Macaca fascicularis: one gene and its partners. The protein of the gene in region 4 interacts with the protein of the main gene of each other region in a pairwise test. Links are inferred from orthologs where the notes say so. Each region holds a gene or a part of one and is shown on either strand. Other genes may lie near its edges.

Region 1 (4,079 bases), on a different chromosome or scaffold from region 4:
CCACCGCGCAGAACAGGAGGATGATGCCCTCGGCTGTGATGATTCGGTTCTTGGTGCCCTCCCCCATGTCCAGGAAGGGCCTGGGGGGCGGATCTGCAAGGGGGTGGTGTGGCTCAGAGCCCTGGCACCTCCTGTTCTCCCTAGCCTCCTGGACCCGCCACCCCCTGCAAGGCCCCAGACCCCTCAGAGCCCCGACTCTGCAGAGGAGAACTTCAGTCCCTCTGTCCAAGCCAGTTTGAAACCCACAATGAAAGTACTGGCTCTATCCCCACTTCAAAGAGAAACCGAGTGTCCCCAGTGGGAAAGTGGGAGTAGGGACCAGGGCTGGGCCACTCACGGCGCACACGGAGGTAGGTGCCGCAGGACTGCTGGTGTGGCTTATTGCCCTCCTGGACCCGGCACAGGTATATGCCCCCGTGGCTCTTGTTCACGTTCTGGATGGTCAGCGTACCATTGTAGCCCTGGCCCTTGCCCACGAACTGAGGGGGCCACGTGTAGTTGCCATGGAGGACGCGCCACCAGGTGACGTTGGCGTTGCTGCCATTGTGCAGGCATTGGAAGTGGGCCTCTTCCCCCAGGCTCACCATCAATGATGTTGGGCCCCCATCTACCCACAGGGCCTGGCACCCAGGACCTGTGGAGAGGCAGGGTGGGTGGGTCAGGGACTAGGGATGGCGACACATGCCCCCAGCCCTGGCCCCTGCAGCTCCAGCACTCCTGGGAAGAGGGTGAGGACATGCCTGGGTGAGGAGGGGAGGAGGGTGAGGACATGCCTGGGTGGGGGGGGAGAAGGGTGAGGACTCTCCTGGGTGGGGGGGGAGGAGGGTGAGGACTCTCCTGGGTGGGGGGGGAGGAGGGTGAGGACTCTCCTGGGTGGGGGGGAGGAGGGTGAGTACTCTCCTGGGTGGGAGGGGAAGAGGGTGAGGACTCTCCTGGGTGGGGGGGGAGGAGGGTGAGGACTATTCTGGGTGGGGAGGGGAGGAGGGTGAGGACTCTCCTGGGTGGGGGGGAGGAGGGTGAGGACTCTCCTGGGTGGGGGGGAGGAGGGTGAGTACTCTCCTGGGTGGGAGGGGAAGAGGGTGAGGACTCTCCTGGGTGGGGGGGGAGGAGGGTGAGGACTATTCTGGGTGGGGAGGGGAGGAGGGTGAGGACTCTCCTGGGTGGGGGGGGAGGAGGGTGAGGACTCTCCTGGGTGGGGGGGGAGGAGGGTGAGGACTATTCTGGGTGGGGAGGGGAGGAGGGTGAGAACTCTCCTGGGTGGGGGGGGAGAGGGACAGCCCCTGACAGGGGCTGATGCATCCTGGGGAGAGGGGGATGCGGGAAAGTGAAGAGGCCCCTGGGGAGGGAGAGAGGACAGAACTGGTTGGGGTGGGTGAGGACATCCTGGAGGAGGAGAATGAGACTCCTTGGGATGGTGAGACCCCTGGGAGGCCCTTCTCACCTCTGCAGCACCATCTCTTGCCCCCCTCCCACATACCCACTTTGTGCTCTGGGCCCTGTGAACTCTCTGGATTTTGGATGTTTGTTCAAGGCACTGGAGGACCGCTGTCCAGACAGCTCCTTCCAGAAGCAGTGCAGGCATCCCCTCCTCCCGCAGCCTTCCCGGTCTATTTTTGCACCCCAGCCTCAGCCAGGCCCTGCACCTGGCGCTTTTTCTTGTGTAATCATTCACAGAACCCTAGAAGTAGGTTATCTCCTTAGCCCCATTTTACAGGAGGGATGGCTGAGGCCCTGGGAGGGCTGGCGGTTTGCCAGCATCACCAGGCAGTCAGGAGTGGCACTGGGTTCAAACTCATGGCTCCCTGGCCTCTCCCTGCCTGGGCTGAGGAGCCAGTCTGTGGCCTGCCCTGGCCTGTGACCCTGTGCCTGGCCCTCATTCTCTGTAAGTTGTATGTGTCAACCTAGGGGTCAGGGGTGAGTTCAGTCCTCGGGCTGGATTGCTGGTGAGCGAAGGGGGTCAGAGTGGGGTGGAGACTGGGGGTGTCTCTGAGTGAGACCGGGCTGCTCAGGCTGGCTGCAGTGTCCAATCTGGGCTCCTCTGGGAAGTCCCAGCTCTCAGCCAGGCCTCCCGCATGGCCGGCCCCCTCTTCTGGAGGTAGGCGGAGGAGGGAAGTGAGGAAGAGAGAAGGAGGAAGAGGTGGGGAGAGGGGCCGAGCACCCTTATCATCATGGGCTTAAGACTCAGACGTGAGCTCCAATCCTTGCTCCCAGTGTCCGCTTGGGTGGGGAACCTTCTTCTCTGAACTCCTGGGTTAGCGTGGCCACAGCCCCTGCCAGCTGTCCTTGAGCGGGTGAGGAGGAATCTATGAGACATCTGTTCCCCCAGTGCTCAGAAGGGACTCCCAACACAGAGAGGCACCTGAGGTTTAAGGCAGATAAAGCTTTTTCTCCCCTTGACAGACGCTGAATGCTACTACCCTCAAGTCCCCTTCCTGTCCCCAGCCCTCGTGCTCAGTCAAGAGCAACTTTAGTTCCTTATTTTGGCCTGTGGGGAGCAGGAGGTGGGGGAGGTGACTCTTGCTCCTGCCTGCCTCCGTGAGGCTGTGGACGCCCCTTCTTCACTGGGCTCCCTCCAGCCCCACATTGGCCCAGCTTGGCACAGATACGATTTCTATAGGCATCTTCCCTGGCTCCCCTACCCTCTGCCTCCTCTTCCCCTTTCCCTGAGCCCCCTTCCCTCTGCCTGTGCCCACTCTGCAGCCTCCACATCTTCCCCCACCTCCCACCAGTTCCTGCCCTTTGGCCACATACCCAGGTAGGCAGCAGACAGCAGGAAGAAGAGGAAGATGGTGGCAGGCAGAGCTTGGAGGACTCCTGGACCCCCAGGCATCTTCTCCTAGTGGGTTGGTTAGTTTGAGTTGCAGCAGTCCCCGGGTACCAGATCCCTACCCCAAACCCCACCCTACTTCCTGCCCAGCCCCCCGGAGATGGGCTCCAGTGGCCCTCGCTGCTGGGCCCTTTACTTGTTGGGCCTGGGGACAGCCCCTGCCGGGTAGGCTTCAGGCTGTGAGTGGAGAGGAACTGCTCCCTGCACCTGTGGTGGCCACAATTCCCCTGAGAGGTGGCTGCTTGGGTGGGGGAAGAGGCTGGTTCAAGGGCTGGCTCGTCACTGCTGAGCCTTTGGAAGGAAGCCTAGGGAACCTGAGTCCTGGGCATGTGCTGTGGGCAGGTGATGGTTCTGAGCTTGACCTCTGCCCCTGCCTGGACTTGGGGAAACCTTGTCCCTTCCCTGACCCCATTTCCTTGCTTCTTGATTAGAAACAAGGACTTAAAAGGGGTTGTTGCATGCACAGAAATGGCCCATAGTAGGCGCTCAGTAAATGTTAGTCACTATAAATGCTCATGAAGAATAAATAAGGCAGGCTGACCTGTGGCTGAGTGCCCGTGTGACTAGGTGGGCACTTTTATCCTTTGAACCTTGACATTTTTCATCTGTGAGATGAGGACCAGAATGTCTCCCTGTCTCATTATGTGATATGAGATGGTGTTTCTGGTATTCCAGGAGTTAGAGCCACGATCAGCTCTTTACTGGAATTCTTTGTTAAAAAACAGGCCAGGTATGGTGGCTCACGCTCAGGCCAGGTATGGTGGCAGGAGGTGGGGAGAGATGTGGAGGCTGCAGAGAGGGCACAGGCAGAGGGAAGGGGGCTCAGGGAAAGGGAAGAGGAGGCAGAGGGTAGGGGAGCCAGGAAAGATGCCTATAGAAATCGTATCTGTGCCAAGCTGGGCCAATGTGGGGCTGTAGGGAGCCCAGCGAAGGAGAAGGGGCGTCTACAGCCTCACGGAGGCAGGCAGGAGCAAGAGTCACTTTGAGAGGCTGAGGTGGGAGAATCACCTGAAGTCAAGAGTTTGAGACCAGCCTGGCCAACATGGTGAAACCCCATCTCTATTAAAAATACAAAAATTGGCCGGGCGCGGTGGCTCAAGCCTGTAATCCCAGCACTTTGGGAGGCCGAGACGGGCGGATCACGAGGTCAGGAGATCGAGACCATCCTGGCTAACACAGTGAAACCCCGTCTCTACTAAAAAATACAAAAAAAAACTAGCCGGGCGAGGTGGCGGGCGCCTGTAGTCCCAGC
Region 2 (3,577 bases), on a different chromosome or scaffold from region 4:
ACTGTCTTGCCTTAGCCTCCCAAGTAGCTGGGATTACAGGCGCCCACCACCATGCCCAGCTAATTTTCGTATTTTTAGTAGAAACAGGGTTTCACCATGTTGGCCAGGATAGTCTCGAACTCCTAAACTCAGGTGATCTGCCCATCTCGGCCTCCCAAAGTGCTGGGCTTACAGGCGTGAGCCACCGTGCCCAGCCTCATGGAAATATTTTTAAAGAGATAATATTCAAATTCAATGTTAAAAAAAACACACACATAAATACTGGTTCTGAAAAGGATTAAAAGGAATCCTTTAACAGAGGTTCTTTTTTTTTTTTTGAGACACAATCTCACTCTGTAGCCCAAGCTGGAGTGTGGTGGTGTGATCTTGGCTCACTGCAACCTCTGCCTCCTGAGCTCAAACGATTCTCAAGCCTCAGCTTCCTGAGTAGCTGGGACTATAGGCGCACACCACCATGTCCGGCTAATTTTTTGTATTTTAGTAGAGACGGGGTTTCACCATGTTGCCCAGGGTACCATGTCCGGTTAATTTTTTGTATTTTAGTAGAGACGGGGTTTTACCATGTTGCCCAGGGTGGTCTTGAACACCTGAGATCAGGCGATCTGCCCGCCTTGGCCTCCCAAAGTGCTGGGATTGCAGGTGTGAGCCACTGCGCCTGGCCAACAGAGTTTCTATTAAAGATAGTACTGAAAACTCCCTGTTGGGTCACTTTATCACAGTTTTAATTTAGAAGGTTCTAAAAATGGTTGTAATCATGACTATCAAGATTTATCAACATGAATGATTCTGACCTCTCCTTTTGCCAGCTCAGTTGATTTGTTGTGGTACAGAAATGGAAAATGGGTTTGAGAGAAATAGGATGGGAAAATGAGGAAAATAAAATCAGACAGGCTCAGTGTCTCTACTGAATAGCTAGGACAGAAGGGGGTCAAACATTTGAGCTGAAGCTACTAAGAGTTTAGAGGCTAGAAGCATGAGAGGCAAGGGATCAACTGTGAGGTGGACAGAACTGAGTAGTGGAGGATTGAGATTTAAGCAATATTGCTGTGGATTATGAAATGGATTATTTCATAATGCTTCTCATGCGAGTAAAGATTGGAATTCAAGCCTGGGCAACCTGGCAAAACCCCATCTCTACAAAAAAAAAATACAAAAAACTAGCCAAGTGTGCTAGTGCATGCCTGTGGTCCCAGCTACTCAGAAGGGTGAGGTGGGAGGATCACCTGAGCCTGGGAGGTAGAGGCTACAGTGAGCTAAGATCGCACCAATGCACTCCAGCCTGGGCAGCTGAGCAAGACCCTGTCTGAACAACAACAACAAAAAAATTGGAATTCATTTTCAAATTAATTTTCGGCTTCTGGTCTGTGCTTCTTTCTGCATTTAACTCCACAAAGATTAAGCCATCAATTAAATCTTGGAATTGCAAGATTTAATAGAACTACATAGGTAGAATACTCTATGAGTTAAATGTAATTTAACTAATATAGGTATTTTAGTCAAAACCAAGTCCTTCCCTGCCCCAGGTCACATACATTCCCTTACCCAAAAAGCATTTAAAATGTGCAATACTTACATTATGAGGACTGGTTGGCTTTCCAGGTAGGTTGGATCCTCTTAGATTCGGAGGTCTCAGTAAGAACAAGATCAATGCAATAACCATCCAGGCCACTAAGATCATAGTAACACTGATGCCATTATCACCAGAGGGTCCTGGTACTAAAGACAAACAAAAAATGTAGCATGCTCACAACATTGTTAAAAGTAAAAAATAAATTCTAATGTTTAAATGTCAGTTTCAAATATTGTGTTAATATAAAAATTGTATTGATAAATTAAAGAAGTACATATTATACCTTCAATTTCCCTTTCCTCCAGTGAGAACATCTAAAAAGTAAATGATGTTAAATAGTCATAAACCAAAACCTAGTAAGTTTTTGTTGTTTTCATTTTTTGAGATGGGGTCTTGCTCTATCAAACAGGCTGGAGTGCGGTGGCTCAATCGTAGCCCACTACAGCCTTAAACTTCTATGCTCATGGGATCCTCTCACCTCAGCCTCCTGAGTAGCTGGGACTACAGGTGTGTGCCACCATGCCCCATGCCCCAAATTTTTAATTTTTGTTTTTAGGAGAAACACTGTGTTGCCTGGGCTGGTTTCTAACAATTGTTTGTTTTTTTTTTTAGATGGAGTCTCACTCTGTTGCCAAGGCCAGAGTACAGTGGGATGATCTTGGCTCACTGCAACCTCCACCTCCCAGGATCAAGCAATTCTGCCTCAGTCTCCTGAGTAGCTGGGATTACAGGCATGTGCCACCACGCCCAGCTAATTTTTGTATTTCTAGTAGAGACAGGGGTTCACCATGTTGGCCAGGCTGGTCTTGAACTCCTGACCTTAGGTGATCCACCCGCCTTGGCCTCCCAAAGTGCTCGGATTACAGGTGTGAGCCACTGTGTCCAGCCCCACACCCCTAATTTTTTTTTTTTAAATTTTTAGTAGTGATGACGTCTCACTATGTTGCTTGGACTAGTCTCTAATAAATTTTTTAATAGTACACTAATTCTTAATATTTTGGGGTAACAGAATCATTTGAGAATTTGATAAAAATTAAGAACTCTATTTTAAGAATTCATGGGGTCCTTCAACAGAGGCCTTGCAAGGCAAGCTGGCCATGCCATGTTTGTAGATTAGTGAGGCTAGGGGCCCTAACTTCCCTAAGATCTACTTTTCTAGCTACCTCTGCCCTGTGTCTGGCACCTACATCCTTCATGATTGTTCTTTTTGATCCATTCTGGATTAAAAATAAATATGAAAAGCACTCATGTATACCAAATTCCACAATTTTGCATATAATTGTGGAAGGTTTAAGGACCCACAAAGCCACGAATCCATAGATTTGCTGAGATCTATGAATCTGAGTTAAGACCACAGAAAAAACACTCTCCTTTGGGGGGAAATCTGCATCTTAATTACAGAGGCATCATGAAAAAGAAAGGGAACATCCGGGCTGCATAATATATACATTAAAAGATCCCTTTAATTACAGTCTCAACCAAAGAGATGACTTTGGCCTTCTTTTTCACACAAAGAAGTTGAATTCAGGTCTAGATATTTTAAAATTTAATCAGTTTTTATCTTCTATCAATTTTTTGTCTTCTATTTATCATGAGGAAAAAGCTAGACAGGGATGTATGTAAGTATACAGGTATCAGTTTTTCCTGGCTCCTTGACATAGCCATGTCTTATTTAATTTGAAATAACAAGTGCCTAGCACAGTGCCTGATATGAGGTTAACAAATTTCTAATAAATGAAACATAGATTTTTTATTGAAGTATATTAGAGAACTCAATTTTCAGAAATACAAATGGCCGGATGCGGTGACTCACGCCTATTATCCCAGCATTTTGGGAAGCCAAGATGGGCATATTGCCTGAGCTCAGGAATTCGAGACCAGCCTGGGCAATATGGTGAAACCCCATCTCTGAGGGGAAAGAAAAGGAAAATCCGGCCGGGCGCGGTGGCTCAAGCCTGTAATCCCAGCACTTTGGGAGGCCGAGACAGGCGGATCACGAAGTCAGGA
Region 3 (4,227 bases), on a different chromosome or scaffold from region 4:
CACAAGCATCACCCAGAGTAAAGAAAAGAGTAGCAACCGTCCGATGTCAGGACTCCTAAACATGGTGCTCCTTTCATTAAACGGCCTTAATTCATGGAGCATCATAAAAAAATACATAAACAACATACATATAGGTTTAAAGATCCAAAACACCTTTAAAATCTATTCATCTCTCTGTTCAATTATATTACAGTCAAAGAAGAGTGCAGTAAGTACTTGCTGTTCCTTCTTCCTGTTCCTTCTGCTGGCCTTCTTCCCTCAATTATAGAAATAGCTGGTCCCTTTTCATCATTCGGGTCTGAGGACAAATGTTATACCCTCACACTGGCCCTCCCGGTGAGTCACTCTATTTCAAGCATCCTCCCCCATCACATGATCCTGTTTTACTTCTTCATTGCACTAAGAATACCCGAAATGTATATGCCTACATTTATATAGTCTGTTTCCCCCTGAGAACGGAAGCTTCATAGAAGGTGAAACAAATCTTGTTAGTTGCTACCAGTCGCACAGTAAACCCTCTGTAGAAAATGTTTATTGGCCACATTTTTTTAAAAAAGCGAATAAATCTCAAGATTAAGACCTCAAACCAAACTAGGCCAGTTTCCAATTGCTTGCGGCAACATACTGAGAACTCGAGTGACTCTCAAGAGAAAAGCCATTTTGAGGCTGGGGTCGAACCAAAATCCAGGGGGTCCACACCAGGTCAGTACCCCGGAATTGGCTGTTTTGCAAGATTTCGGGAGGACCAAACTAGCATGAGGTATCTGACAACGAGGCCAGCCATGCACCGAGCTCAGGTTTTATTTCCGTTGTCCTTCTGACGTCAGAAAAAGCACGAGTTGCTGCACAGTTTCTTTTATCAAGGTGACAAATTACACCCTCGCTGGGCCCTGCATTCTGCAAACCATAAATGTATTTTCCTCCTCCCCCTTGTATTTAAAAATGTAAAAACCCACTGCAGAGAGGTCAAAACCCCTTCCAAACGCAAATGAATACCGTTTTCTAGCAGAGGCGTCTTTTTTCACTGTTACTACATACATCACCGTGGATTCGTCTGAGAAAGTAAACGAATCCTGGCGGCAGTTAGTTTCTAACAGAGAACGAGGGTTTGTATAAGCCTCGGGTCCGCGCCGCAGAGCAAGACAAAGGACTCTGAATTGTAGCACCACCTTCCCCAGTCCAAGGCAGCCTGTGAAAGGCACTGGGAGCGGCGTGACGCGGTTACCGCGAAATTCCTTTTGCTGCCATATGCACTTGTGCCTTCACTGACTACAGTTCAGCAAAAACCTCGGGCGGGCGATTTGGCAGGGAATCGGCGCCCAGGCAGCCGGGTAACCTACCGGATCCCAACGGTACTGAGGAGCCCCATGCTCCGGGAGGTGGGTAATTTAGGGGGCAAAGGGCTCGCACAAGGGCGAAGGTGCTCTCTCCTCCCGGCACCGATCCACGCATTTAAAGGCCTCTGTGGCAATGTTTAGGGACGCGAGCTTGCTGTCGGGGGTTGGGAAGGAGGTAAGACTGGAAGCGAGAGCAGTCAGCGCCCAAGACCGCGCAAGAGGTGGCCTTTTGTTCGCTGGCTCCAGCACATCCCGACTCTCGAAAAAACACTATCCCTGTCCCCCGCCACCCTCTGCATTTTAGAAAAACCTCTTCAGGGCAGGAAAGGACAGTGAGTCACTTGCAAACATCCTTTAGTAATTTCTCCTCGCGCCCTCCTACTTCCCCGCGTTACAGAGGGGCAGAGCACCAGGAAGGACGGCAAACGTGCCCCGGTTTACTGGTGGTCCGCCACGGCTGCCCAGCCGGCCACACGCAGCACCCCAGGACATCACACGATCTCCCCTGGGCCTTGGGGACACAGGAAATTTTCCCCAAAGGTCGGGGATTCAAACACTCCTATAACAGGGTCGCGCCCTCGGGTCAGATGCGCTCTCCCTCCAGACCTGCGTGGTTCCCGGCCCTCGTAAAAATGGAACCAGATCTGGTACCACACTCCGCCACAGCCACAGGAAAACACACCAAAGCCACAGGAAAACAAACCAAAAAGTAAGCCACAGCCCACGCAAAGGTGAACTCGGGGGCCCTGGCGCTTCCTCGCTCTGCCGCATGCGTTCGGGAAGCACAGGAGACCTGGACTTTTCCTCTCCTAAAAGCAACATCCGAAAGCATCCGGCACAGCCTAGCTCTCTCTGCTTTCACGCCAGCAGAGATGATTTCTACGTTACCGCCTCCTCCCACATCTAAACATCCCCTCGCCGCTTGCCCAGCCCTCCCAGGGAACGGATAATCACCTTACCTCCGCAGATAAAGGGAAAGGTGGCGAAAGGCGACGTGGATGTGTCCGCCCTTCCGGGGTTTTTACCCTCGGCAGTTTGATGTCCTTTGTGTCAAGGTCTGGCTGCGGAGGCCGGGAAAAGGTGGCTCCCGTCAGTCAGGGCTGGGCAGGGAGCTTGGCGTGGCCTGGCGGATTTCCGAGGAAGGTGAAGGGCGGAGGCTCCTGGCGACCTTCAGGCGGAGTGGCGTGGCTGCCCCAGTCCGCGCTCGCCTGTCTCTCCTCCTCCTTTCCGGGCCGATTGCATCAGAATCTCCCCTCACCACCAACCCCCACTCACACTCTGCTCGCCGGCCTCGCACTTACATCCACATGCACCCGCGCTGAGGGTCACGAATCGGAGTCATTCTCCTACTGGGAGGCGCGTGGCCCTTCCGCAACCATGGCTTGTGATGGTTTAAGGGGGACAGGACATTCCTCCCTGTCCCGCGCGCCGTCTCCTCCCCTCCTGTGCGCCCGCTCTTTAACCAAAGCTGCGTGTCACTGAGCCGTGCCGGTCACATGGTGTCACTGCTAGCGGCCGCGCCTTGCTGCCTCCCTCTTGCAGCTCTCTGACGATGCAGCGACCGCGGCTGGCGGAGATTGAGCAACGGGGAAAGGGTGAGGGAGGGGTTGCGGGGCGCGCGTGTGCCCGCCGCACTGAAGGTGGCACCGGGAGCGGATGCTGCGCACCGCCCTGGCACCTGCCCCTCTCCCTCCCGGGGCCCGGCGGCGTGTTCGGAACCCAGCTGCGGCGGCAGCTGGAGAATGAGAGCCCTTAGAGATGGGGGTGGGGTGGCTAAAGGGGCACCGGAGGAGGACAGGAGGGCTGTGCGTTCCGCTGGGGCCTGCATTTTGGGTACGCCAGAGCCCCGCCGGGGCCGAAGGAGCGAGGGAGTTGCATTGTGGGAAGGGCGCAGCATGAGGATGGCCGCGGGAGTGGCCGGTCCGAGCCCAGCCCGGAGAGCAGCGGGGAGCGCCTGGGACTACGAGCAGCTTTGGAGCGGAGGGTTGGCCCTGGGTACAGCCCGCAGATGGCCCGGGTTGGCGGGAAGGGGAACGAAGCGACAGGGGGAGCGGGGAGCTCGGGCACCTTTAGAAACCCTTTGTCCCTATCCTGAAGCGGGAGGCACCTCCCTTCTTCCGGATCCAGCATCCGCAGACCTGGCAAGCCCTTCCTGAGATCTGCCCTGTGGAGCTCTGCTTTGGGGACTGGGTGTGAGGCAACCAGAAGGATTTGCTGAGCGCCGAGAAAGCACCGGCCTAGGCGCAAGAGGCGGGGGCCAGCTCTTAGAGGGCCTGGAGACCCCATGTGGTTCCGACCGAAGGACCTGGTGCGTCCAGGTTAACTGAGCTGGGGCGCTCCAAGTCCTGGGGACAAGGGAGCGCGATGGAGGGGAACAGGGGCAACTGGGCCTGGTTCCCTTTTTTCTCCGCTTACTCTTTGTTTCAGACACAGCCCCCTTTTACTGGCTGGGCACTTCCTTGCAGAAGAGTTGTGTCTTAAAATGGCGACAGGAAATCCCACCTGCGCCTCAGCCAATTACACTGTCATTATAGCGCGAATTTGCAGGGTGGAAATGCGAGCTTTTTATTGACAGGGATGGTTCAGTCTCCTGTTCATGGCTCATCAAAACAGGAAGGGCAAGGTGAATCATAATTCAAAAATTACCTGGAGCGTTTCAAGCAGACAGTAGTCATTGTATTTGAGTGATTTTTGCTTTTTCATCACCACTGGAAAAGCGAGATGATAACCAAATTTGTAACTCATCACCGACTAAACTTCTTATTCCCTTCGAATGGCTGTAAATGGCCTTTATTAATTCAATAGCGGCTTCCTGAGAATCCTATTTAGAAGGCATGCTCTTGAGAAATACTGAGAAATGGAAAGTTCAGAGCAAACAGAAAGGGCAAAC
Region 4 (4,262 bases):
TGCTTGCTAGGTTCAAGCGATTCTCATGCCTCAGCCTCCTGAGTAGCTGTGATTACAGGCATGTGCCACCATGCCCAGCTAATTTTTGTATTTTTAGTAGAGACAAGGTTTCACCATGCTGGCCAGACTGTTCTCCAACTCCTGGCCTCAAGTGATCCGTCCACCTCTTCCTGCCAGAGTGCTCAGATTACAGGCATGAGCCACCATGCCAGACGACTTGACTGGATTTCTTAACAGCCAGAAAGCGTAGGAGCCTCACCTGAGTTATTGTGTGTATACACACACACGCACCACACACACAATTTTAAATACAGGAAGCGTTATTTCACACAATGGATTTACAGAGTGAAATATTTATGTACTCCCCATGCAATATTTGTTTCAGGCATTCTGAACTCCCAAGGTTGCATCCCAAGCATAGGAAAGGATGACCCTGACCTTTCTGTCCTCATTTGCCAGCTTGGAATACAGGAGCTTCCTCCTCCTCACAAGTCAATGTCTAGCCCTGCCTGACCTGGTCAGGCTACAGCCCCTACAACCAGTACTCCCAACCCCAACCTGGCCAACATGTGCTGAGGACCCCATGCAGTACCATTTTCTTGGATCGGGTGGCAGTCATATTCCAAACTCGTTTCGCTGAAGCAGAGCCAGCAGCTTTTTGTTCCAACTTCTGCCTCTTCTGGGAGGCACCCAGGGACCGAGATCCATGCTCCATCATTTCTAGAGAGAAGAACAGAGACCCCAGGAGCACCCATAGAAGTTGTACCAGGGCTTCTTGGGCACAAAACACACCAAAAAGAAGACAGAGTCCCCAGCTTTCTTGGGAATCACTCAGCACCCATTAACCACTGTCCACCAGCTGATCCCAGGTCTCAGTTTGTTCATCTGTTCAAAAGTTAAACAAGAATCCTGAGGGCTCAGCTCGAGACTAGGTTACTCTCCAGTAATCTAGAGAGCAATGACCAAGAACAAGATTCCAGCTATCAAGGAACTGACCATCTGTTTTGTGTATAAGAGTGAATGACAGGTGTAAAACAGAAGGTCTATCCTTGCAAATGCAGACAGAGAGATGCAGGCTCCATAAATGATCAAAACAGGGTAACATAGTGGAAGGAAAGGGCTCCTTCTAGAAAAGTAGGAGACAACAATTGAGGCAGGGACCTGAAAAAAATAAAGGACCCAGCCCTGGGAAATTGAGGGAAAGAGCATTCCAGACAGAGGAAACAGCAAATGCAAGGTCTTTGGGGAAGAAGCAGGCTTGGAGCATTGTAAGAACAAACATAAATGCAATGTGATCTGGATCCCTTTGTGTGCTATAGAAATGGTATTTTCTGTCTATATCATAGTATGAAATGTTTTGAGGAGGCTGATACAATCTTATAGATCATGGAGTCTGGATTTTCCTCCAAATGGCAGGAAAATGAATTCGAGGGTTGGGAGAGAGAATTGATCTCTGGTCTCATAATTTGAGCCCTCTGAGTATTTTGCAACAGACACTGTGGTGGCTTGGACAAGGGGAAGACAGAGGGACCACACATGTTGTTCCCATCCTCCTCCCTCCCAGGGCAAAATGCTCACATCATCTATCCCTTTTCTCCTAGATCCCTTACCATCAACCCACAAATCCTCAAAGCCCGCCCAACACACAGATGTGCAAACACTTCCATGCACACATGCACCTTTCCCAACACACACATGCACAGGTACAGACATGTATCTACACAGTTGGCTGTAGCCTAGGGGTATTTTAGGGGATCCTCACCCGCTATCACCAGGTGCTCTTGGTTTTGCCCTTGGCGTCCATGATTCAATTCTTCTGTCAGGGACATTTCCATCTCTGCCTTGGTGTTGGGAGGGCCTCCTGCCATCACAACCAGCTGTTCACTTGTAAGCTATGGCTAAGGATGTACAGGGTGCCAGGAACAGAGGAGTCACACTCAGAAAATCACCTCTTCCTGGAACAGGAGCTCAAGGAAGATATAGTCAGACCTGGGGGTGGAGCAAGACTCCCTCTCTAGGCTGAGGCCTTGGACTCAGCACTTTCTGTTTCTATTGTATCTTGTTGGCTAGGTCCGTGGCCTTCTCCTTGCTACTCTGTAAGCAACTTAGGAGAAGAGATACAATTCCATGCCTTTGACTGTGAGAACTGCTCTGGCTCATGAATCTCCATATTTAGCCCATGGGGGGAAGGGTAGGGTCTACCCTCCATCATTTCTATGAAGAAACAGGGATTGGCACAGGGTCCAAGAGCCAGGCAGTGGCTACAGCAGAGTTAGGTCCTAGCAATCCAGGCCATACCACACCTTCAGAAGAGATTCTCTGGAGAGCATATCCTACCTCCCCCATCCAGAGTCCCCAGACATGGGAGGTAGCCTTTTTCTGAAGTAGGTCAGACTAGGCAGGAGCCATGAGAACAAAGGGAGAGAAGGGTAAGAGAGGTGGGACCTGACTGCAGCCACTAGAACTCCCAGGGGCCTCAGGCCTTGCACCTTCTAAGTCCCAATTCTCCCTCAGTTTCCCTACTGATTAGACCACTGTGATGGTCAGGTTTATGTGTCACCTGGCCAGGTTCTAGTCCCCAGTGACTCCTTCAAACACTAGTCTAGGTGTTGCTGTGGAGGCATTTTGTAGCTGTGGTTGGCATCTACAACCAGTGGACTTGAAGTAAAGTAGAGACACATCCTCGATGATGTGGGTTGGTCTCACACAATCAACTGAGAGGCCTGAAGAGCAAAGACTGAGGTTTCCCAAAGTAGAGGTAATTCTACCCCAGGACTGCAGTGTCAACTCTTCTTTGAGTTGCCAGCCTGCCAGGCTGCCCTGCACATTTCAGACTTGTCAGCCCCACAATTGCATAAGTCAATTTATTAAAATAAATGTATATATACTTGTGCATATGCAGATATATACATATATACATACATACATATATACATCCTATCAGTTATGTTTCTCTGGAAAACACTGATTGCTACACGACCTGTGGTGAACCCTTCATTCTAGGAAACAACCCCAGAGCCCCTGGGGGAATAGGAGGCTATTTGTGAAAGGAATCAGGACAGGTTTATAAAACGTTCCTTTTAGAAATAGCCTCTTCTTCCCCCAGAGCCCTTGGGTCAGGTGGGATAAAGAGGAGGAAGGAAGGAGGAAAAGAGGAAGGGAGGAAGGAAGGAAGGAAGGAAGGAAGGAAGGAAGGAAGGAAGGAAGGAAGGAAGGAAAAGAGGAAGGGAGGAAGGAAGGAAGGAAAGAAGGAAGGAGGAAAAGAGGAAGGAAGGAAGGAAGGAAGGAAGGAAGGAAGGAAGGAAGGAAGGAAGGAAGGAAGGAAGGAAGGAGAGGGAGTGCAAAGGAAGGGGTCAGAACTAGCTGAGATAGGGCAGCATGGTCTGAGGCTGCCTGTCCCCTGCCCCCACCTCACCTGTCCAGCGCTGGGGCCGAGCTCTTGGGAAGCAGAGCTGATATAGGCCCTGCCTGCATTCCTGGGGGCCCCAAAGAAGCCCTTCCCAGATCTAGTGGAGCAGCTGCGATGAAATTTGAGCTTTCTGGAGGGCCACCTTGGGAGCAGAGAAACTACTGAGTGTGCTCAGCTTAGTGGGATTCAGGAGCCTGGGAAGCCCAGCCAAGGTTGCCAGATTGAGCAAATGAAAATACAGATACGAAGTACATTTAAATTTCAGATAAACAACACATCTGTACTTATACTACATTTGTAGTGTAAGTATTCTCTCTTGTACACTAACCTTTGGGACATATTTACACTAAAAAAAGGATTCATGGGTTGATCTAACATTGAAATTTAGCTGCATATCCTGTATTCTATCTGACAATCTTATCTCACTATGACCTCAAGATTTTACCTCGAGCAAGTTTCTCCCTTCTTTTGGTGTCAGTCTCCACCATGGACAAGCCTCCCTACAGGGTGGCTGGATTGTGAGGAGCACTCAGAAGTCAGCAAAGCTACAGTAGTGTAGGCACTGGCTTGCCACAGGGCCTCAGGCTATGGAGGCCAGATTTCTGTCTAGTTATCAACTGACCCTGGTGGGGCTTCTTGGGCACAGGAGCACAGGGTCCAGGTGCATGTGGAGGCACTGCCCCCTGGTGGCATAAGAATCCACCACCTAAAGCCAAGCAAAGAGGGTGGGAGAATTCCTTCCCAACCCCTGAACCCCCAAGGCCACTCAGAAACCCCAACATCTCACCCCCTTAGCGTGCCTTCCCCGCTTGGATTGAGTGCCAAAGACAACTTGGAGGTGACAGAGAGTTTA
Region 5 (4,340 bases), on a different chromosome or scaffold from region 4:
CATCTATAAGAAATCACATTTCCTCTCATTGTCAATATCTCCCACAGAAAAAGATACCTCAGAGTGACTCCTCAAGCCATTCTGTGCACACAGAATGTATGTTCTTTCTCTCTGTTCACTACTAGCTTTTTCAGCAACTAGTACTCTCTCTCTCCTCATGTCTCTGGCTCAGCTCTTTTAAAACGTAGCTCAACCAACTAACTTATCTGACTTTTAAAATTTGCTTTGTCCATTATTCATGTTCTCTTCCACAAATGAGAGTCTAATTACTGAGGTACAAGCAAAAAGCACTTCCTCCTTGGAGCCTTAGTATCCTAGAAGATAGAGGGGAAGGACTGCAAATAATTTAAATGTAGTACCTTAGAAACCTTTATTCTATTTCACTCTTTCTCTCTCATACACATCTCCTGCACAGACACACACACCTCCTCAGGAGGGGGGAACTATAAAACAGTATTTCGCAGTGTGATAAATTCTTATGAATGAATAAAAATCTAGTGGAAGTTCAAAGAATGAGGTGAATCATTCAGTTTGGGATAGAGGAAAGAGGAGAAAAGGCTTCACTGAGGAGGTAACATTTAGTTGAGGTAAAAGACAAACATTTTTTTAGGCTTGGAAGGTGAGGACATTCCATACAGTGTGAATAGAAATAGCCAGGGCACTGAGGTAAAAGAGGCTTTTAAGTTTTGGAGGGATCTGGTATAGCTTAGAGTGGTGGTTCGCCAATTATAATGTGGATAAGAGTTATACACGGAGCTCATTTAAAATGCAGATTCATGGGCACCCATCTTCCCAATATTTTGATTTGGTGTCCAGAAATCTGTAATTTGAACAAGTTCATCCAGGTAACAAACACCTTTTTATATGCCAGTAGAGACTGTGTGAGGAGCAATGGCACAAAATCATGTTGCCACAGTATTGGAGTGAACACAAACTAGTATCTCAGATAAGTGAGAGTGTGAGACAATAAGAGATTATGTCAGAAAATGATGTCAGGTCTTTGAACTGGGTTTTGAGAGATAATAACTTGACAATGAAGCTATTATTTTCTTCCCTAAAAGCCACTACTTCACAGGAAATATTTATTGAATGACTGAATGAATGAATGTGGGCAGAATTCTGAGAAAGCAAACTGAAAGTTTCCAGAACTGTGAGGATTGCTTGCTCATCTAACTTGACTGTAAGGCAAACAGTTTGAGAATAGCCAGCTCTGAACCACTAATTCAAGCCTTCCAAAAGCTGTCTTTGTGTATGTAAAATTGATATACGCATGCATTTTCATTCAAGTCTACAAACAAGGTAAATGTAATTATCTTGTAGATCATCCTTGTAAACAATCATCACAGTTATGTAGCCACTGCCAGATACAAGCCCTTAGAGCTAAGATCTGGGAACACAGAACAGGCTCTTACATAATTTCCCAGCTAGTCAGTGTTAGGGCCTGTGATTAATGCTACATGACAGGCTTTGAACTTTCTATTCAGATAGGTTTGCTTGCCTTTTGGAGCTCCTAGCAAGACGAAACGTGTGACCTGCAGATTTCACTCTGAATAAGCATCATCCAGCCAACAACACTGACATGGCTCTGTGGCCCTGTGGGTAACCGTTGCTGTGCCTCACTCCTCTGCCCATACACAAATTGCAATAGGAGCGTCAGGGTGGTTTCACAGAAGTAGAATACAACTTCCTGAAGCCCAGTCGCTGAAGAAAGCCATGGCAAACAGGCTGGTGGGCTCTTCTGGGTGTAATCAGAAAAGCCCTAAGGGAGTGGCCAGAGAAAAGAAACTATAGTAGGGAAGAAAGGAGTTCTGCTCTCTACCCGCCGCCGTCTATAACAGTCTGTGACAGCTTCGCAGCATCTTTCCCTTCCTGGAGCTCCCGCGGAGCAATTGAACACGCGCTTCCAGCATCCCAGTCCCGCCGAGGAGCTGTCCCAGTTCTGACCAACTTTCTGAGCTTGGCCAAGTCTTCCCGGCTCCTCCGCTCAGCTATGGGTCTCTCCACCCATCCCCTCATCCCCGCGAAGGTCCAGGTGAGGGGCCAGAGCCCAGCGGCAGCTCCTCCAAGCGTCCCCCTCCCCCATCTCCCAAGGGGGAGGTTTCTTTCCACAGTCCCTGCTCGTCTGCAAGCGGTGAGGTGAGACGACACTTGTCTAAGCGCCTGCAAAAATGCGTCCACACTCCCGCCTCCAAGCAGAGTGCCTCAATCTTGTCCCCACCGCCTTGGAACGGCACCTTAGGAGGGGGCAGGATAGAAATCTCCGGCTTGAGGGTTGACTCTCCGGCTTGGAGCAGAACGGAGCAGGGAGCACCCCATGCGACCTCTCCTCACCTGATGGCTCGCTGCCTGGCGCCCCTCCCTGTACGCACACACTGCTACTCACCAATTCCAGGGCTCGCAGGAAGGCAAGGGGCTCCTTCAGCACCCGGAAGGTGCCCGCAGAGGCCAGCTTTGGGGGAACGAGGCGAGAGAGAGAAAGCAAAGCGTGAGGAAGGGGCTGGGGGTGCCTCTCCCAAGCCGCGGCACCCCCCGCCCCCCGCCCCGCTCCCAGCCAGCCGCCCTGCCCAGTTCTGTCTCACCTGACTCACAGGGTCCATAGCTCGCCCTCGCTCGCTCTTCTCATCCACCAGTTCTTTTTAAAAAGGAAGTTCGCTTGGCACCACCGTCCTCAGGGCCAGAAGCCCCTTCGGGAGCAGCCAGAGGAGCGACACCTTGGAGCAGCCCGGCGAGGGCAGGGGGCCTCGGGAAGCCCACTCGCTAACGCTGGGCTCTGCGCTCCGGGAACCCAGAGCGTCGGGGAGGCGAGGCGAGGCGAGTCAGCGAGGGGTGGGCAGGGAAGAGCTGGGGCAGGGTAGAGACAACAGGGGAGGGGGAAACCCATGCAGCCAGGAGAAGGCTGTCATTGGCCAGCGGCGCGCCAGAGGGGAGGGCGAGGAGGTGGGCGAGGCAGGGCCCACAGGCATTGGTGCAGGCTCAGCCGTGCGCCCGGTGCCCTCTGGCTCCGGGGAAACTTTAGGTCTGTTGGTTTGGGAAAGCGGGCTTGGCACGATCAGCAAAACAGCTGTCCACCTGAAGAAGGGGTTTCCAGGTAGGAGGAAGACACCCACACCTTACATGGGACGTCTGTGTGAGTTCTGATGACTTCCGAACAGGAAAATAATAATAATGATAAATACCTAAAAATAAAAAATAACTATTTGTTGACTCTTTCATTCCTTCGAGCCTTTATAGAGCATCCTTCCTGTGGGCAGGCAGTGCTTAGGTGCTGGAGTACATCAAAAAAACAGGATAAGCATTGCCACTTCCCCCAGGGGAAGCAGAAGGGGAAGCAAAACTTGCAATGTGGTCTGGACAGTGATGCAGAGCAGAGCACAGGGGCCATGGGCACAGGGCAGGGGATCCATCTTGGCCTGTGGATGCCAGGGCAGAGGACCAGGACAGAGGAAACTGCCTAGAGAGAAGAGATGGAAACAAATTAATCTTGAATGTGGGACCATGTGCCAGTGGAAAACAGATTTAGCAAGGATGAACTGGCCAAGGTGAAACATCTCATGAAAGGCTAAACAGGGAATGAAATTTAGGTACCTTTCAAACTCATTTTATTTCTGCTGAGATCTTTTGCCTGAGATCTGACCCCCAAATGAACTTCCCCACCAAACTTTTAACTCTGGGTCTCTCCTCCAAAGTTAGACTGTTTTCTTGAAACTTAGTGAAAGGTGGTTCATGTTGTTTCCTCTTAGTGGGCTAATCTTGCTGATTATAATAAAAACAACAACAACCGAACAACTGAGTTCTTTCTATGAGCTGAAAACTGTGCTAAGGGCTTTACAAACATTACTTCATTAAATATTTACAAACCCCCATAAGTTAATAATACTATTATTCCCATTTTAGAGATGAGGAAATTGAGGCCCATGGAAGGAAAGTGGCCTGCCCAAGGTTGCCCAGCGAGCAGGTAGTGAAGTCAGAATTGATTTTTTTTAAATCAGAAAAAGAAAAGAAGAAGAAGGGGAAAAAGGAAGAGGAAGAGGAGGAAGAAGAAGAGAAGGAGGAGAGAGAGGAGAGTTCTTAGCTACTACCTCAAGTAGTGATATGTCCTCTTCCTTCTCACTCCCTTTGGACTGGATTCCATTTATGAGTGGTCTCCCAGCAACACAGATAGTCCATCTGTTTACTACAAAGATTTGCCAAAAAGGTTTGGAGTTCGTGTGTGTGTGTGTGTGTGTGTGTGTGTGTGTGTGTGTGTGTTGGGGGACAGGTATTTGATATGTAGAAGTAGATGAGAAATACAGAAATCAGTAATTTGCTGTTGGGGAGGGGGAGGCAGCTTCTAGTGTAAA
Region 6 (4,173 bases), on a different chromosome or scaffold from region 4:
TACAATTTTTATGACATTTTATGAACTAGCAGTTTTTTTATTTTACAACTCTTTCCTTTCTCCTGGCCTCTACCCACTCACCCTCAATGAAAGGCAGTTGGAATGCAAGTAAGAACTGCAGCATTTCCATCCTGGGTAAGCCACACCACCTTCATGCACATCTATATTTTGAGTACATGCTTCCATACCACCAGGTTTCCATGTCATGGCAGGAACTCCAGGGAAAACATAACATATATACAACATACTATATCTTAGAAGCAAAATTATTTGAGTAAATTCTGCTTAGAAATAAAAGGGCTCTCATTTGATGAGCTTTCAGAGCAGGCAACAAAAGTAAGCTACTGCCCTTGCTAGCAACTCAACAACGTTCACCTCAGGGAGACGATACAACAGTAAACTTCTTTTTAGTTGAGGAAGACAACACAACCTTACTCCTAAACATCTTAAAAAATAAATATTTCAAAAACATGCTAATATCTTAGACGCAGCAAAGTTTGGTCAAATGGTCTAGATCAGAAACCTCATCCAGAAATACATGTCTCTACAGTCACCCTAGCAAACACGGAGGTTTGACCATGAACCAAGGGGCTCAGCCTGCACTGACTTGGCTTTAAGCACCCTAGGGTCTCGACTATTTAGCTGAAGCCCCTCTCCCTAACGCATCTGTCCTTGGAGAAAAAATTCGATCTTCGCTACATGTTTAACTAACATTCTCTAAAGAGTGACATTTATGAGATGAACATCAGTGTACATCGTTCTAAAGATGATAGGTGCACCCATGCAAGCCACGGAACTACAGATCATTTATAAAAACAACTTAAGACTTGCATTGGTCAAGTGTGCTTAACTTTGCATTCTCTTTGTTTTGGTATTAAAACTAAATGAAAGTAATGAATAAAGAGCTGAGATTTTGTTTTCACATGACTGTGAGCAAAAATCTCATGATATCCTTGCTGACCTCATAGATGCATTTCCAGTGGACAGACTTGTGGGGGCTTTTTGTACAGAACTCACACGACAACCTCAGAAACAGGAGCACAACAACTCATAGACAGTACTGGGCCACAAGCACTAGAATAGCGTACACGATGAACAGAAAAATTAGCATTCTGGGTGTACTCATCTGGCAAAAAGGTGAACATTTTATGCCCACGATGCAAAGACCAGTGAGTGTCATTTCATGGAAAGGTGCAAAGGCATGGTGTCAGACACACCACCCTCTAAAAACGATTCTAAATACTGCAAAAGAAACCTGGGTGCATATCCCATGCATCTCTCCCCTCAGGGGCGGGGCATACTCCTTACACCATAACCATAAGGTGCCTGGCTGTGCCAGAGGCACAAGAGGCAGCTCAGCAATGTGGGGTGGAGGGTGACAAGTCCTCCCAGCTAATGTAGTGAATCATTTAAACTGAGTTCACTTGGTGAGCTCCTGCTCATGTTCGTCAGGCTTGCCATGAGGGATTTAACTTTATGGGCATAATAGTCCCTTAAATTGACTGAAGGGACCTCCTTCATTCCATCTCCAAAGTCACAGCTGCGCATGGCACTCTCAAGTTGCTTTTGGCGCCGGTAAAAGTGGGAGAACTTATTGAAGATCAAGGTGATGGGCAGGACCACCACGAGGATGCCTGCCAAGATGCAGGCAGAGGCAGTCAGCTTCCCTGCCGTGGTCCCTGGGACCACATCCCCGTACCCTACTGTGGTCATACTGACAGTAGCCCACCACCAGCAGGCGGGGATGGTGGCCAGGCCCTCGTTCTCCTCCTTTTCAATGGTGTAGGCCACCACGGAGAAGATGGAAATTCCGACGGAGAGGTAGAGCAAGAGCAGCCCTACTTCTTTGTAGCTGTATTTCAAAGTGGCCCCCAGGGAGCGGAGGCCCGTGGAGTGCCTGGCCAGCTTTAAGATGCGGAAGATCCGCATCAGCCTCAGGACCTGGGCCACCCTGCCCAAGTTGGCTAAGGTAGGTGTGCTCTCCACCACCAGGTTCACCACTAGAGTTATGTAAAAGGGGACGATGGACATGAGGTCAATAAGGTTTAGGGCATTCTTGAAGAACTTAAGGAAGTCAGGGGCCACAGCAAACCTGGCCACCAGCTCAAATGTGAACCAGGCGATGCCAAAGTGCTCCACGATTTCGAACCTAGGGTCCTCGCCAGGGTTGCCCTGGCTATCAGGGATTTGGAAGTCAGGCAGGCTATTGAGGCACATGGTGATGATGGACCCCATCACCACCAGAATGGACAGGATGCTGAAGACCCTGCTCAGCACTGAGTAGCCAGGGTTGTCCAGGGCCAGCCACAGCTGCCTGCGGAAGTTGCCAAGGGGCTGCCCATCGAACTTGGAGGCGTCGTTGTAGAAGGCAAGGATCTCATCGAAGGAAGACGTGGTGCTCTCCTGGTCACTCTGCTCGTCCCACTTCTCCTGCTCGGGCTCCACTTTGCGACCATGGTAGCTGTAGCTGCAGCAGGAGTCAATGAAGAACTCGTTGATGCCCCAGTACTCGATCTCCTGGCTGAAGGAGAATACGCACAGCTCAGCCATGACGTGAAGCTTGCCGGTGTGATAGAAATGCAGCACGTAGGGGAAGAGCTCAGGGTTGCGGTCAAAGTAGAACTCCCGCTGGACGTCGTCGTAGTCATCACAGAGCTCCAGAATGGCCTCGCGCGAGTGGCAGAGCAGCAGGCGGCCCAGGCGCGTCTCGGGAAAGCGCAGCAGCGTGTGCGAGCGCAGCCTCCTCTTGAAGCCGCCCACGTTGATGCGGATCTCCCCGTCCTCGACGTTGGCCTCCGACACGTCCCACAGGCTCTGGCCGGTCATGCTGGAGGCACCGGCCGCCCGCGCCGCGCGGGGGCGCTACACCTGGAAGCGGAGGGAACAGCATCGGCAAGAGGGCCGTGCGCCCCGGCCCATCGCCCCCTCTCCCTACCCATTTCTGGCGGGCCCAAGCCTCCTAGGTGGGTCTTGGGTGCTGAAGGGCACTGGGCTGGGGCAAGAGTTTGAGGGGTCTGGCCCCCTCCCAGGAAAGGCTGGGGGTAGGTATGTTTCTATTAGCACGGCTCCACCCCGGGGGTCTCGGTTGGCGCTTTGCGCGTGCAGCGTCGCGTCCCCGCGGCTCTGAGCGCCCAGGGGGCTGCGTGCTGACCTTGTCCATGGGCAGGCCCGGGAGACGCCCCCGCCCGCTCGCCGCAGACAGGAGGGACCAGAGCTGAAATACGCACGGGCAGAGCGGGGCCGACATGGGGGGCGCGTAGCTTTGGGAGGTTGGGGCGGATGCGCTGGAGTCTGGAAACCCGGGCCGGGGAAAGAGCGGGGCGGCCCGGCCTCCCCTGGGTCCAGCTCCCAAGCCTGCAGCCCCCGCGTCCCCGGCCCAGGTCTCACCACCCGCCTGGCGCTATGCCCCAGGGCCGCGTGCGCTGCGCCTCACCCGGCGGGGCTGCCCGGGCTCGCCCTGCGCGTTCTGGAAGCGCTTACCTGGGAACACGGGCGCCCGCGGCCGAGGCCGGCGGGAAACTTCCCCGACCCGCGGGCGAGCATCGCGGCGGTGGCCGCTGCCTGCTGGCGGTGCGTGCGCGGATGCGAGTGTGTGCGCCCGAGTGTGCGCCCGGCGGGCCGGCGGGCGGGGGCCGCCGAGCTTCTCCTCCCGTCTCGGGCCGGGCAAGCCGCCGCCGCCCGCAGCTGCGGAAGGCTCACAGGTGGCTGCGTGGTCCCGCCGCTCGCGGAGCCCCTTCTCCGGATCCGCGCGCCCGTCACCCGCCGAGAGAAGCAGGAGCCCGCGCCGCAGGCGCCCCGTGAACCCGGGCGGGAGCAGAGCGGGTGTGACCGGGCGCAGGCCCTGCGTTGGGCGCGGCGCGGTGGTGCTGAACGGACAGCTCCGCGCGCCTCGGCCGCCGCCCCGGGCTCGGAAGGCGCAGCCGCCGCCGCCGCTGCTTCTCTGCGCTTCCCCGGCGCGTCACCGCGACCACCTTGCGCCCCCGGCTCGGCGCGGGGCCGACACCCCTCCCTCCCCCCCGCCCATCCCCCGGTGACAGCTGTTATTATCACCACCCCCAGGGCGCAGGCAGGGGGCTGCCTACGGTGACCTTTCCCCGCTGGGTCTGGCGGGAGCCGGGCTGGGAAATAAAGGGCGGCTTGCGCGTGTCCGGGGACAGGGCGGGACCGGAGGAA
Region 7 (3,577 bases), on a different chromosome or scaffold from region 4:
TCGTCGAAGGTGGCGCTCCAGGCCCTCGCTACGCTTGAAGTACCTGCCCCAAAGCACACACAACAGAGGGGATATGAGGACAACGGTTAGCCAGGTACTTGTAGTGGAGCTCCATGTTCATAACATCATTGCAGGAGTCACTGACAGTGCACTGGAATCTGGCGGCAGCAGCCAGACCACAGCGTATGCTGAGCCAGAAGTGACGGTCAACTAGTGCTAAGTGCGAGAAGGCTTCTAGGGCCCACAGAGGAATGCATTTCACATCCCACCCAATATGCACAGGTGTATTCTATCAAATATACATATCCGAATAAAAACTTTGCAAAACAGCTGTTACCCTTACCACCTGAGAGGCACTCTGATAGTATGCAATGCTACCTATTTTGTTGCATTGAAAAAGTAAACATTGACGACAACTCATGAAAAACTGATTTCATAATGCACTCCCGGGGTGCAGCTGGCAGTCTGCAGGAACCCCGGTCAGGAAGCCCTTTTCTAGGAAACTCTTGGCAGCAGAGATGATGGCGCCTGCACCATAATTCTTCTCCCAGCAAGAAGAGGCGTCCTAGGAGGTCCTTGAAGGGGCTGAACCCCAGCTCAGGGACAAAGCCACTTGCTCACCTCAGAGTAGGCATCAGCCACCTCTGCCACTTTGTGCCTGAACGTGACTCGGAGGCCATGGCATCCCCAGAGTGCGGGACCGCAGACAGACCCCAGCTCTCCTCATTCTCCCCTCAGCCTGCACCCTCCAGCGCTGAAGAACACCAACAGGGCAGCACCCAAAATGCCAACAATAGTTGGCTGCTGTCTTTCACTCTCGTTCTCTCCTCTCATATAATTCTGGAGAGAGTCAGAATGCATTTCCATTGGTGTTTCTCAGGAAATGTCACTAAAATTCCAGTATTTTCATAGAGCATTTTCCTTTGTTTTCAAAGGGGGCCTTGTCGGTGACCATGGTCCCAATTATTCACCGCATACTGCCAGAGTCATCTGCAGAGATTCAATTTCACTACTGGGTCTTATGATAAGTAAGTATCTTTCCAACAACTCAGAAGTTTAACCACATTTCTTCCTCCTGAGCAGCCAATCTATTATGAATTCTGTAAACATGGTCTCACCATCTCCCTGTCACCCCCAAAGCGGCTGGCTCTTGGCAAATGTGGCTCCCAAACCCTGTCCTGCTCGATGAGAGGGGCTACCCCAGCCTTTCTTCCCAGCCTACCCTCTCCCAATTTCTGAATCATGCCTTTAAAAAAAAAAAAAAAATGTTTGCTGGAAAAACTGCCCTTCCCAGCAGCTAAGGCTGCAAATATATTTTCATAATGCATGCAAATGTTCTCCCACAAGCAAATGGCACTCTGGCAGAGCCTTTCATTTGCTGGTCTAGAAGCTGCAAGCAGTTCATGCTCAATGTATATTTTATGCTCAGGTAAATCCTCTGGAAACATAACGGTCCATTTACAATAGCTACATTCCCAGTGAGAGACCTCAGCTTGTGAGAACCATGTGTGGCTGTAAAGTTTTGATGTGGCATTGAAAGAAAACATTATGAATTTTATTTTAGAGCCCAGAAGACTAAGCTAGGTTGGCTCTCAGCAGATACTGCAGCTGCTGGAAAGAAAGCGAAGGTGCCGTTCAGAGAGCGTGAGTGTGTGCCCTCTGCCAGCTGTCCTGGTGAAGGGGGAGTGGTGCCCCCCATGCAGAGATAGGGCTGCGGGGAGCCCAGGGCTGGGACGGTCCCAGCAGGCAGCATGCGTGGCAGGGCGGGTGTGGTAGGGTCTGGTGGGAGCTGGCACAGAAGCAAGGCAGGACCCACATGGCTCGGCTGACCAGGTCTTACTGTTTTCTCGCTATTACCAAAAAATTTGAGAAAAAAAATAAATGGCACATTGAGTGGCCGTGTGCACCCTTTGCTTCTTCTGAGACTTAGGTTTTTGTTTCTTTTAAGTTGACGTGTTCAACTTCAGTTGTAATCAAAATACAAAAAAGCATAAAGGGAAGCAAAGCGTGTTTACCTGGCAAACTGGAAAGATTTTCTACATTTGCTTCTTTATTTCCTGGGTGGTTGTGTTACAGGCCGATGTCCAGTGTCCACACTGCAGGGTAAGGGGGCCCTGGCTACGTGGAGGATCACAGTCAACAAAGGCCTTAAAAACATGCAGACCCACCAAGAGCCATTCTGCTCCTTAGACAGTTTTAAGGAAAAGAATCATGGCTAAGCACAAAAACATAAAGTAAGTAACTGTTTATAACAACAGCAACAACATAATGGAAACAATCTGAACAACCCATAAAGACATCCAATACGTTACACGCTGTGTATAGAAATCTATACAAGGGTAGGCAAGCATTAGAAACGTTACCATGGAAAAATAGCTAATGATATGAGAAGTGTTTACTCTATGTTGTTTTATAAAGAGGTATACTGTACAAAAATATACATTTAAATTCACAAAAATGTTAAAACAATAGTTCTCTCTGTAGACAGTAAACTGCTGAACAGAGTCTTATGCCTTCGTGGGATCCCTAGTATCTAGCACAATGCCCAGCACAGAGCAGGTACTCAATAAACATTTATTAAAAGAATGAATGAATGAATGAATGAATGAATGAATGAATGAATAAGAGAATTAGTTTCTCCACATTGTCAGGCAGGATATTTCTACTTTCTTCTTTGTGCTTTTCTTTATTTTCCCAGTTTTTCTCTATCAGTGATGCATTTACTCTAGTAACTAAAAAACATACTAAAAGAAACTAAATACTTTTAAATGAATCAGAAACATCCTCTTAATTCTGTGCCTCTCTTGTTAACAAGAATGACCTCCCCACGGGGCATCCGCCCACACTTTAGAGGTGGGAACAAACAGAAAAGTGGTAGAGGGCACAAGCTCCGGACCCCCGGTACCTACCGATGATGTAGGAGAGGATTAAGTTCCAGCCGGTGATGAAGGCCCAGAGTTCTCCAACGGTGACATAGCTGTAGAGGTAAGCTGAGCCCGTCTTGGGGACCCGAGCACCAAACTCGCCGTAGCACAGGCCAGCCAGCACCGAGGCCAGCGCAGCAATCAGGAAGGAGATGACAATGGCAGGGCCTGCATTCTCACGGGCCACAGCTCCAGCCAGGACATAGACGCCAGCACCCAGTGTGCTGCCCACCCCGAGGGCCACCAGGTCAAAAGTGTTCAAGCAGCGAGACAGCCGCGTCTCCTCCCGGCTACAGTCCACCACCTTCCGCCGTAGCATCTGCTGGCCAATGTTGAGCAGGACTTTGCACCCCATGTTGCTGTTCAGAGCTGTCGAAAAAGAACAAAGATGTTTCCTGATTGCTCCTCATTTCATTCCATCACTCTCATCTTATCACATTATTGAAACAGACAGTGATCAGGTCCTTCATAATCATTTCCTGCTAAAAGGCTTTAATTCGTAGAATTCCATTGATTGTCAGAAGCACACAGCCTTCTCCAGTTTCACCAGCACATACAGAATTATCCCAGCAGGCCAACAGATACAGCTGACTTCATTTTGAGGTCTCTGAGCTTCCACATTGGTATCAGGTCCTCTTAATGGAGACTCTTCC

Evidence for each region.
Region 1: the proteins of FATE1 (region 4) and CD79A interact in binary tests that used the Homo sapiens proteins (3 or more experiments, as listed by UniProt). The two-hybrid records come from large-scale screens. The link is inferred for Macaca fascicularis from reciprocal best matches to the Homo sapiens genes FATE1 and CD79A.
Region 2: the proteins of FATE1 (region 4) and SMIM14 interact in binary tests that used the Homo sapiens proteins (3 or more experiments, as listed by UniProt). The two-hybrid records come from large-scale screens. The link is inferred for Macaca fascicularis from reciprocal best matches to the Homo sapiens genes FATE1 and SMIM14.
Region 3: the proteins of FATE1 (region 4) and SLC38A1 interact in binary tests that used the Homo sapiens proteins (3 or more experiments, as listed by UniProt). The two-hybrid records come from large-scale screens. The link is inferred for Macaca fascicularis from reciprocal best matches to the Homo sapiens genes FATE1 and SLC38A1.
Region 5: the proteins of FATE1 (region 4) and SYNPR interact in binary tests that used the Homo sapiens proteins (3 or more experiments, as listed by UniProt). The link is inferred for Macaca fascicularis from reciprocal best matches to the Homo sapiens genes FATE1 and SYNPR.
Region 6: the proteins of FATE1 (region 4) and KCNS2 interact in binary tests that used the Homo sapiens proteins (3 or more experiments, as listed by UniProt). The two-hybrid records come from large-scale screens. The link is inferred for Macaca fascicularis from reciprocal best matches to the Homo sapiens genes FATE1 and KCNS2.
Region 7: the proteins of FATE1 (region 4) and SLC7A1 interact in binary tests that used the Homo sapiens proteins (3 or more experiments, as listed by UniProt). The two-hybrid records come from large-scale screens. The link is inferred for Macaca fascicularis from reciprocal best matches to the Homo sapiens genes FATE1 and SLC7A1.

What each region holds. Positions count from the first base shown.
Region 1 is NC_088393.1:48,916,704-48,920,782, reverse strand, and holds the start of CD79A (B-cell antigen receptor complex-associated protein alpha chain), read right to left. Parts: upstream 2,856-4,079; 5' UTR 2,831-2,855; coding exon 2,752-2,830; intron 2,360-2,751; exon of another isoform or gene 635-2,359; coding exon 338-634; intron 94-337; coding exon 1-93. UniProt on the Homo sapiens protein: Required in cooperation with CD79B for initiation of the signal transduction cascade activated by binding of antigen to the B-cell antigen receptor complex (BCR) which leads to internalization of the complex, trafficking to late endosomes and antigen presentation.
Region 2 is NC_088379.1:38,849,631-38,853,207, forward strand, and holds part of SMIM14 (small integral membrane protein 14), read right to left. Parts: intron 1,717-3,577; coding exon 1,574-1,716; intron 1-1,573.
Region 3 is NC_088385.1:52,992,546-52,996,772, forward strand, and holds the start of SLC38A1 (sodium-coupled neutral amino acid symporter 1), read right to left. Parts: upstream 2,818-4,227; 5' UTR 2,297-2,817; exon of another isoform or gene 2,292-2,296; intron 1-2,291. UniProt on the Homo sapiens protein: Symporter that cotransports short-chain neutral amino acids and sodium ions from the extraccellular to the intracellular side of the cell membrane. The transport is elctrogenic, pH dependent and driven by the Na(+) electrochemical gradient.
Region 4 is NC_088395.1:157,778,728-157,782,989, reverse strand, and holds the start of FATE1 (fetal and adult testis-expressed transcript protein), read right to left. Parts: upstream 2,839-4,262; 5' UTR 1,869-2,838; coding exon 1,763-1,868; intron 721-1,762; coding exon 593-720; intron 1-592. UniProt on the Homo sapiens protein: Involved in the regulation of endoplasmic reticulum (ER)-mitochondria coupling. Negatively regulates the ER-mitochondria distance and Ca(2+) transfer from ER to mitochondria possibly implicating it in the regulation of apoptosis.
Region 5 is NC_088376.1:126,378,303-126,382,642, reverse strand, and holds the start of SYNPR (synaptoporin), read right to left. Parts: upstream 2,819-4,340; 5' UTR 2,598-2,818; coding exon 2,580-2,597; intron 2,450-2,579; coding exon 2,384-2,449; intron 1-2,383. UniProt on the Homo sapiens protein: Intrinsic membrane protein of small synaptic vesicles. Probable vesicular channel protein.
Region 6 is NC_088382.1:108,072,159-108,076,331, reverse strand, and holds the start of KCNS2 (delayed-rectifier potassium channel regulatory subunit KCNS2), read right to left. Parts: upstream 2,877-4,173; 5' UTR 2,869-2,876; coding exon of another isoform or gene 2,863-2,868; 5' UTR 2,827-2,862; coding exon 1,393-2,826; 3' UTR 1-1,392. Other genes in the region: uncharacterized protein, read right to left, coding at 2,863-2,868, 3,481-4,173. UniProt on the Homo sapiens protein: Potassium channel regulatory subunit that modulate the delayed rectifier voltage-gated potassium channel activity of KCNB1 and KCNB2 by altering their kinetics, expression levels, and shifting the half-inactivation potential to more polarized values.
Region 7 is NC_088391.1:9,369,726-9,373,302, forward strand, and holds part of SLC7A1 (high affinity cationic amino acid transporter 1), read right to left. Parts: intron 3,294-3,577; 5' UTR 3,280-3,293; coding exon 2,910-3,279; intron 44-2,909; coding exon 1-43. UniProt on the Homo sapiens protein: High-affinity, low capacity permease involved in the transport of the cationic amino acids (arginine, lysine and ornithine) in non-hepatic tissues.